Caenorhabditis elegans: one gene and its partner. The protein of the gene in region 2 purifies or fractionates together with the protein of the main gene of each other region. This does not show direct contact. Each region holds a gene or a part of one and is shown on either strand. Other genes may lie near its edges.

What was found.
Region 1: the proteins of C50E3.12 (region 2) and Y51H7C.3 fractionate together in Caenorhabditis elegans (co-fractionation; one large-scale study listed by BioGRID). This does not show direct contact.

What each region holds. Positions count from the first base shown.
Region 1 is NC_003280.10:1,436,576-1,440,522, reverse strand, and holds Y51H7C.3 (Lzipper-MIP1 domain-containing protein), read right to left. Parts: upstream 2,034-3,947; 5' UTR 2,014-2,033; coding exon 1,980-2,013; intron 1,408-1,979; coding exon 1,301-1,407; intron 1,254-1,300; coding exon 1,152-1,253; intron 1,103-1,151; coding exon 920-1,102; 3' UTR 826-919; downstream 1-825. Other genes in the region: Y51H7C.12 (Nucleotide-diphospho-sugar transferase domain-containing protein), read left to right, coding at 301-457; nol-6 (Nucleolar protein 6), read left to right, coding at 3,026-3,076, 3,129-3,239, 3,288-3,726, 3,792-3,883, 3,929-3,947.
Region 2 is NC_003283.11:7,619,844-7,623,859, forward strand, and holds C50E3.12 (uncharacterized protein), read right to left. Parts: upstream 2,219-4,016; 5' UTR 2,187-2,218; coding exon 2,148-2,186; intron 2,091-2,147; coding exon 1,989-2,090; intron 1,928-1,988; coding exon 1,823-1,927; intron 1,769-1,822; coding exon 1,670-1,768; intron 1,617-1,669; coding exon 813-1,616; 3' UTR 661-812; downstream 1-660. Other genes in the region: C50E3.15 (C-type lectin domain-containing protein), read left to right, coding at 201-352, 446-506; C50E3.13 (uncharacterized protein), read right to left, coding at 2,683-3,600, 3,651-3,746.

The DNA of each region.
Region 1 (3,947 bases), on a different chromosome or scaffold from region 2:
ACAGACTACAGATTAATATTAGCTACAAGTTGTAAGTTGACAACTTTGTTCTAGCTCAACCCAGAAAAAAGTTACGACGGCCGACACCTTGCGGGCCATTTTTGGCGTTCTTGGCCCGTGAGACGTCGGTTGCCATAACTATTTTCTGGGTTGAGCTTAGCAAAACTTGTCAACTGGCAAATTGTAGCTAATATTATTCTGTACATATTTGCAGTCGACAATTGTCTGCCAAACCTTCTAGTTTCAGAGTTATGCTAGTTTTACTATTCTCCACCGAAAAAAAAAAGTTACGACTTTCAGAGAAACCATCAAAACAAGCTTTCAATCCCTAATTCGCCAGGATTGGTCCCTGGAAGAGAACTGGTTCGGCTCAGGCGTCTTCTTTTTGAGACACCTATTCAATGTGGATCCAGGACGGCGGAAAGTGTATTTAAAGGCGCATTATCATATTATTTAATTTATTAAAATCGTTTTTAAAGTCCCACAATGTTTTATTTCTATTAAAAATCATGATTTTGCCAAATTTATGTGGAAAAATGCCAAAAAAGCAGCAGTGGTCTGCTAAATATCATTTTGTAGTTTGTAGTCTAGCAGACCAAATTTTATTAGAAACTGGTTGGGACTGTTAAATATTTTTTGTAGTTTGTAGTCTAGCAGACCCAAATTTTTAGAAATTCGTTGGTCTGCTAATGTTTTTTTTGTAGTTTGTAGTCTAGCAGACCAAAATTTATCAGAAATTGGATTGGTCTGCTAAACATCATTTTGTAGTTTGTAGCCTAGCAGACCCATATCTTCTGCATTGCAACTCCACGAAAAATGTAGTTTGTAGTCATCTGTAAGCCTTCATTACTCTGAAAATCGCTTTTTACACAAATTTGACAAGAAAATTAAAAGTGCGAATAAAAATTAGTAGATCAAATTAGTACTTTTCGATAGATTTCTCTGATTTTTCCGATTTCTCGCCGAGTTTCGCAGAGCTTTGCCATTTTGCACGCTCCCCCTCTTCTTCGGCATATTGCTCGTGTTTTTGCTGAAAATCTCTCTTAGAGGTCTCCTTCGGCGTGCTCGAATCGATCGGAAGTCCACAATAATGATCGGTGACCTGAAAAATAACGTTTTTAATGCGAAAATCGATTTAAAAAGGTGCATACATTCGAGGAATCCGTGTTGAAGGACATATCGGTCGACGAGACGCTGACTGTTGACACGTGGCGAACTGGGAGCCCGTTGCGGAGCTCTTTGATCACTTTTTCCTGAAAAAATTGAATTAATCATGCTTAAACGCTCGAAAATAGCCAACTTTTTGTCTTCTGGTCTCTTCGAGCTCCATTTCCAAGAGGAAAGCCTTCTCTTCGAGGCGGTGCAGGTTCACTTCGAGACTTCGACGCTTTTTGGCTGCACGATCACCTGAAAAAGGGTAATTTTGAAGAAATTTAGGTCAAAAAAGCTTTATTTTAAGCGAAAATTGCCTATTTTTCAATGAAAAACGCTCTGGTCTGCTAAATATTCTTTGTAGTTTGTAGCCTGGCAGACCCACTGAATTTCGAGTTTTCTGGCGGTTTTTCATTGATATTAAAGTCCGGTTATTTGGAAAATGTTAGTTTTAGTGATTTTAAGGTGTTTTTAACTTAGTTAAAAGTCTAAAATCATTTAATTTGAGCGAAAATCGACTAAATTTCAAAGAAAGGACCGATTTTTATACGAATTTTAGCAAAAAAAAATGGAAAAAATCATTTAAAACTATCAATTTTGCACTTAAAATTAAGATTAAGTATAAAAATTAAATAAAAATTGCGAAAATGCATGTTTTAATAGGATTTTCCCGATAATGGTCTGCTAAATCGAATTGTGTAGTTTGTAGTCTAGCAGACCAAATCTCTTCACAATCCTATTGGTCTGCTAAATCGAACCTTGTAGTTTGTAGTGTAGCAGACCAAATGGAAAAATCTGATTTTTGGGGTTTTTAAGGTAAAACTCACGTTCAGAGCCGAGAATTGATGTCAGGAACTTCATTTTTGCGTCGCGGGAGCTTGCTGAAACAAATTTGAATGAACGGAAACGAGAAAACTGAGAGAAAATGGAGAACGAAACGAAAAGAATTAATTAAAATGATGGATAGCTTTGTGTGTGTGTGTGTGCGTATCGGTCCAAAAACAAGCCTATAAATTCAGTGAATTCGCATCTTTTTTCGCTTTTCTTTCTAGAAATAAATTCCAGCTGAATCGGCGAGAGGGAGAGAAGAAGAAACTACAGAATTTAAAATTCATCAGAGAATTCGAAAGAGTTTGTGATGAAAAGAAAACAAAAAATAACATTGGAAATTTCATGAATATTTGATGAAAATTCGTAGAAAACTGGAAAATTGATTTTTTGGAGGGAAATAATTTGAAATTCAAAGTTTGGCGGCAGCAGGCAGGTTGCGTACTTTTGCGTACTTGGCCTTTTAATTGACGAGCAATAAGGGGTACTGTAGGAACTTTTAAATTTGATTTTTAACATGTTTTTTCATAAAAAATTGTTTTTTAGCTCTAAAAATTTAGAAATATGATCGTTTCAAAGTTAAAAAAACATTTTAGACTTTATTTTCAAAAATTTATTTCGAAAACAGACGTTAAACACGTCTTAATCTGTGTTTTTCCCTGAAAAATGTCCCAAAACTCTGCAGTTTTTCATTTTAAATCCTTTTTTTGTGTTCTAATCTGTCATTTCCCTTGTTTTCCCCGTTTTCCACTCAATTTCTGCTTTTGAAACTCCGCCGAAAGCAGGCAAACGACACTCCGAAATCCCGCAGTAACGTGTTGTTTATCGTAAATCGACAGAGACACTCTATTTTATTTTTTGTTGATTTTAGCCTTAAATCTCGAGTTTTCAATGATTTTTTCTAGTTTTTGAATGTAATTTTGTGAAATTTAAATGAAAAACTGAATATTTGTCATTTCTAGTGTATAAATTGGTTTTCAAAATTGGTTTTAGCTTGAAAAATTGATTTTTGGGAGCAAAATACTAATAAATTCTATTTGCAGAGATGGAGACAGACGGAGATGTGCTCCCAATGTCGAACGCCTTCAAATTATTGGTAAATCCCAAAAAAATCGATTTTCAAGCAAAAAAATTGTTATATTTTTCAGTGCGAAGACACCGCTCCAAAATCCAACAAAAAACTCATCGAAAAGCAGCGTCAAATCGCTCAAAAAATAAAAAATGTGCTGGAAACCTCGAAGAATGGCCCGAAAATTCAGGTTTTCCCTTTAATTAGTGAAATTTTAGGCCAAAATTTGAATTTTCAGTACAAAAATCTCGATTTCTGGACAGAATTCGACGTTAAACATCCTCTGCATCATCTTCAAAAGGCTGTGGATGCCACGTCGTCGAGTATTCCGGAATTTCAGTGGACACCGCCGAAAAGCATCGTTATCACTGAAAAAGGGCAACAAATTTTCATTGAAATTCCGCCAAAAGCTCTCGGAAATCGCGATTTTCTCAATTTGACCTACGCGGCGAAGCGGGGACATTTCGCGTGCCACGTGGCGCGGCTTCTGAGCGGAAAATTCGAAAAAGTCGAGTTCACAGCCGGTGGAGCCCACAGAGATGACCCAATTTTCGCGGATATTCTTGTCGATGGAGTTCGAATTGGATTTTACTGCCCGGAGCTTGCGAAAACCAAGAGATTTGCTCCAAATATCGGAAATTTGAGGCCCGCCACCATTTTTGAGGATCTTTTTAAAGGTTTTTGTCTTTCTTTTGCAGGAAAAAGTGTAGTTTGTAGTCTAGAAACCTAATTTTTTTTCCAGAAACCGAAATCGCTACGCCAAAATTCAATCAACGAATGTTGTGGTCAATTCTCGAGTTGGAAATTGCTCAAGAGATGGAAAAGGAGCTTAAAGTACCCTTTTAAGCCAATTTTCCCCATTTAAAAGCTTAATTTCAGGCCCAAAAGACCGCCCGTC
Region 2 (4,016 bases):
TTCAGACTTGTATTTTTCGAGATACGCCAGAAGGAAGATACTCAGTTTAGCGAGTTTTGGAAGTTATTTGGTCCGCTGAGCGTTTTTTCCTATAAAGGAGTGTTCATTTTTCAAAATTTCAAGTTTCTGCGTTGGATATGAAGAGTTTTATGGCTGAAATTAGAGCATTGTAAATTGTTAAACTTATTCAACTTTTTTAGGATTATGAATTCCAAGATGATACACTTCACTACAAAAGCGGCTACAAATGGAATACCGGTGAACCAAATGGATTGGGTGGCGAATATTGTCTACAGATGTACATTTTGCCAGACACATCTTCCGATTCCCATGGAAAAATTGATGACGTAGAGTATGTGGCTATTAATAATACAATTTCAGAATACGCAACTGGAACTTGCATTTTCCAATAATTGAACAAAAATATTGATTGAAGTAATTTCAGCTGCTCCATGATCGAAAACTACCCGAAATTTTTTGCGCTGTGTGGAATGAAAGCAAAATAAATTGAACTTTTCAATATCTGTTTGAATTATCCAACCAATAAAGTTGAATCAATGTCATATCATAACTTACTCCATTTAGAGATAATTATTTTAATTAATTTAAGATAATTTTATAAAGTGATAATTCTAATTTTTAAAAAAATATCTATGGTTTATTTTAAGTTGAATTTATTCAAAAATATTTGGTTAAATTTGAGAAATATTGACAAAAAGCAAACAGTGGGAAAATACAGAATAACTTTGAAAGTTAAAATAATCAATAAACTAATAAATTAACATATTTCACGATTATGGCAGTATATTAACTTAAAGTTTAGAGAGATAGTCATATGGTCGTTTTGTAGCATAACTTCCCGAATCGTCTCCGTCACTGTCACGGCGTGGCCGCTTGTATCCTCGATTGGATGGCCCTTCTTGATGATCATCAGCATATTCATCATCCTCTTCGTCCTCATAGTTGTCACTACTATTTTCTTCTAGATTTTCACCTTCATCGGGGGTCATTAAAGCACCGAGACCTTCCGGGTCTTCTGCTGGTGATGGTTGATCTCGTCTTAGATTATCAGGAGCATTTGCCCTACGATATCGTTGATTGGCAACCGCTTGAGGCGCGGCAATTTCTCTTACTTCTTGCTCAATTTGTTGAAGATCTCGTGATATGCGAGTCCGTTCATCACTGCGTTGCCTGTTCGATTCGTTTAAAGCGAGTAACATTCGACCGACATTTCCAAATGTTGGATTGGCCTGGTCTCTCAGATTTTGATTGAACTCTGTTCGAGCTTCGTTTTCTGTGTTATACGAGGTTACTAAGTTTTCTCTTAGTCTACGTGAGCGTGGACTAATTTCTAGAAGCCGCTGATTAAAACGACCCTGTGTTTCGTTGCGCTCTTGACTTCCAGGAGGAGCAGGATAGTCTCCCCTTTGTACTTCTTCTGTTTGGCGTTGCATTAGTTGATTGCTTTGCTCACATTTTTCGATTAGTAAGTTCGCCTGATTGATCTTGTTTTGTTCAGCTCTCTGATGTTCTTCGTTAGAATCAATCATGCTTTGTTGCCCTTGGGTATATACATCAATTTCAACTTGGTTTAATAATCGGTGTTCATACGGGTTCTGAAAAAGAAAATATGATTTTATTATGTTTTTAATGTTGCAATAATTTATACCTCTCCTCCCCGAGGTTGCTCCACATTTTGACGCTCCGGCTGACCATTGGCTACTTGTGGCAATGTTGGTTGGGCTGCATGTCGTCTGACATCCAAAGTCTGTAAAATTAAATGGTTTACTAACAATTATCTGAAATTCCAGCTTAGTTATACCTCATCCAAGTCTTGTAAATCGTCCACATTTAGCTGCGGACCTCCTGTGGCCACTGGACGATCTACTAATTGCTCTCGAAGATGTTCTGACCCTCCGACGTTTGGCTGAAATGTTTTAAACATAGGACTTATGAATTTATTGGATTTTTTTTCAAATTGTTCATACCTCTTCTGAACCATCTTCTGCATTTGACTGCCGTCCACTTTGCTCTTCCGCTGGCTCATCTTGTTCTTGTTCTTTTCCTTGAGTTGGTTCACCATTTGTCTTCTAAACATTCATGTTAATGCTTAATTTAATTTTTGAAACAGGAAAATTCAATCTTACCTCTTCGATATCAGCTGCAGACTCTCCAGACACATTCATCTCTTACAGTTAGTAGCGATTTGAGATGTAATCTGAAAATTTACAAATTTTGTTTAAAACTTAAAACGAAGTTAAAAGAGGGAAAACTGAAAATTGTCAAATTAAAATAGAAAAAAAATATAACTGACCAAAACAATCGATTATAGCGAGGGAAAGGAAGAATATTCGGAAAAGGACACCGGTAATTTTTCCGGGACAATTGTAGGTCAAACAACAACGGTCTTATGAATATTCGAGGGGAACCCCCTCCCGCGTTACAAAAAACATTAAAACATGCGTACATTGTAGATCAAAAAATTTCATATCATTTTTTATCGTTTTTTGTCAAAATTGCTATCGAAAATAAAGGTCGTAATCAATATTTAATCAATATTTACCTGAAATGAAATAAAATAAATAAGATACATCAAAGAAAATTGATATTAAAAAATAAACAGACTGGATTATAAAATAAAGATTTAAAATAAATTAGTATCAACTTGAGTTCATCATTATTTTAGCAACTTCTTCCAAGAGCCTGGGAAGATGTGGATGGAGCATTCCACATGCTTGCGCTGCTTCCCGATCCTCCTTCATCATCATCACGACGTGGTCGCTTGGGCCTCCAATTCGATGGACCTTCCTGATGATCAATCTCTGCTTCATCCTCTGATTCCTCTTCGTCACTCTGATACACAGTTCCTCCACTATCGTTCAAATCAGGATCATCAGCACCCAAGCCTTCTGTTCCACGCGGATTTAAATATTCTGCACGATTAGTTGATATTCCTCCGCCACCTATAACAGGGTTGACCACAAGACTCAGAAGCTCAAGAAGATCTGGTAATTCATCGACATGATGTTCATCTTCATCCTCAGAATCGTAATCTTCTTGGTTCGAAGGACCGGCCCGATTTGATGCACGTTCCCTGCGACGATCTTCTTCGGTACGTTGTCGAGTAGCTACTAAACGCTCATAGTCTCGAATCGCTTGTTCATGCGGCTCCCGTCGTCTTTCCCAGGAATTTGCGACACGGTTCAACCGATCATTCAGAGTTTCCATCCAAGTATTAACACTTTGATCTGTTGGATTTTTAAATCTTCTCAATCTCCAAATAAAGGTTTTTCGGGCGATTCGTTCCCTTTCATACAGTTCGGCCCGCGCCCTTCTCAGTAGAAGCACTCGGTTTTGCACAGTTCGGATAGCCAAATTTTCGGCAGCCTCGTCTTCGTAGTTTCTCCGATTTTCAAGAACATCTAGCCTTCCAAGATATCCAGCTCGACTTCTGAGTTCGTTTTCTTTTTGTAAGAGTTCCTCTCCAAGTGATTCTGTCATTCTAATTAGTTCCAGCTCCTGCCGATATTCATCTTCCAATTCTTCTAGTCGTGCTACTTCTGCTCCAATTTGAATAGTGGTGATCAGTTGACTGGGATTCTGAAAAATAAAATTTGGAAAAGTTGTTATATTTTTAGAATCAGTATTACCACTGCTATCAAGTATTCCAAATTTGGTGGAACTTGCAGGTTATCGGATGCGTTTGGAACTTGTGGTTGAATCGGTGGCTGCCTGGCAGTGAGATCCTGTAAAATAAAAAAAATAAGCCTGACTTCACCACTAATCAACCTTCAACTAGAAAATTGCACAAAATGAATCAAAAGCAGACATAAAAAACTTCCAGAACATTCTCCGAAAATCGAAAGAATCTCGTTCTTTTTGTTACGAAACATAAATCCTCTCAAAAGCTAAACCCACAAAGTTTAATTTTACTGAAGACAAAACGTTCAGCTTCGGTCAATTAAAAAACTGAAAGCCAGAAGTGTTATAAATTATTATTTCGTTTGCTTCTCCGA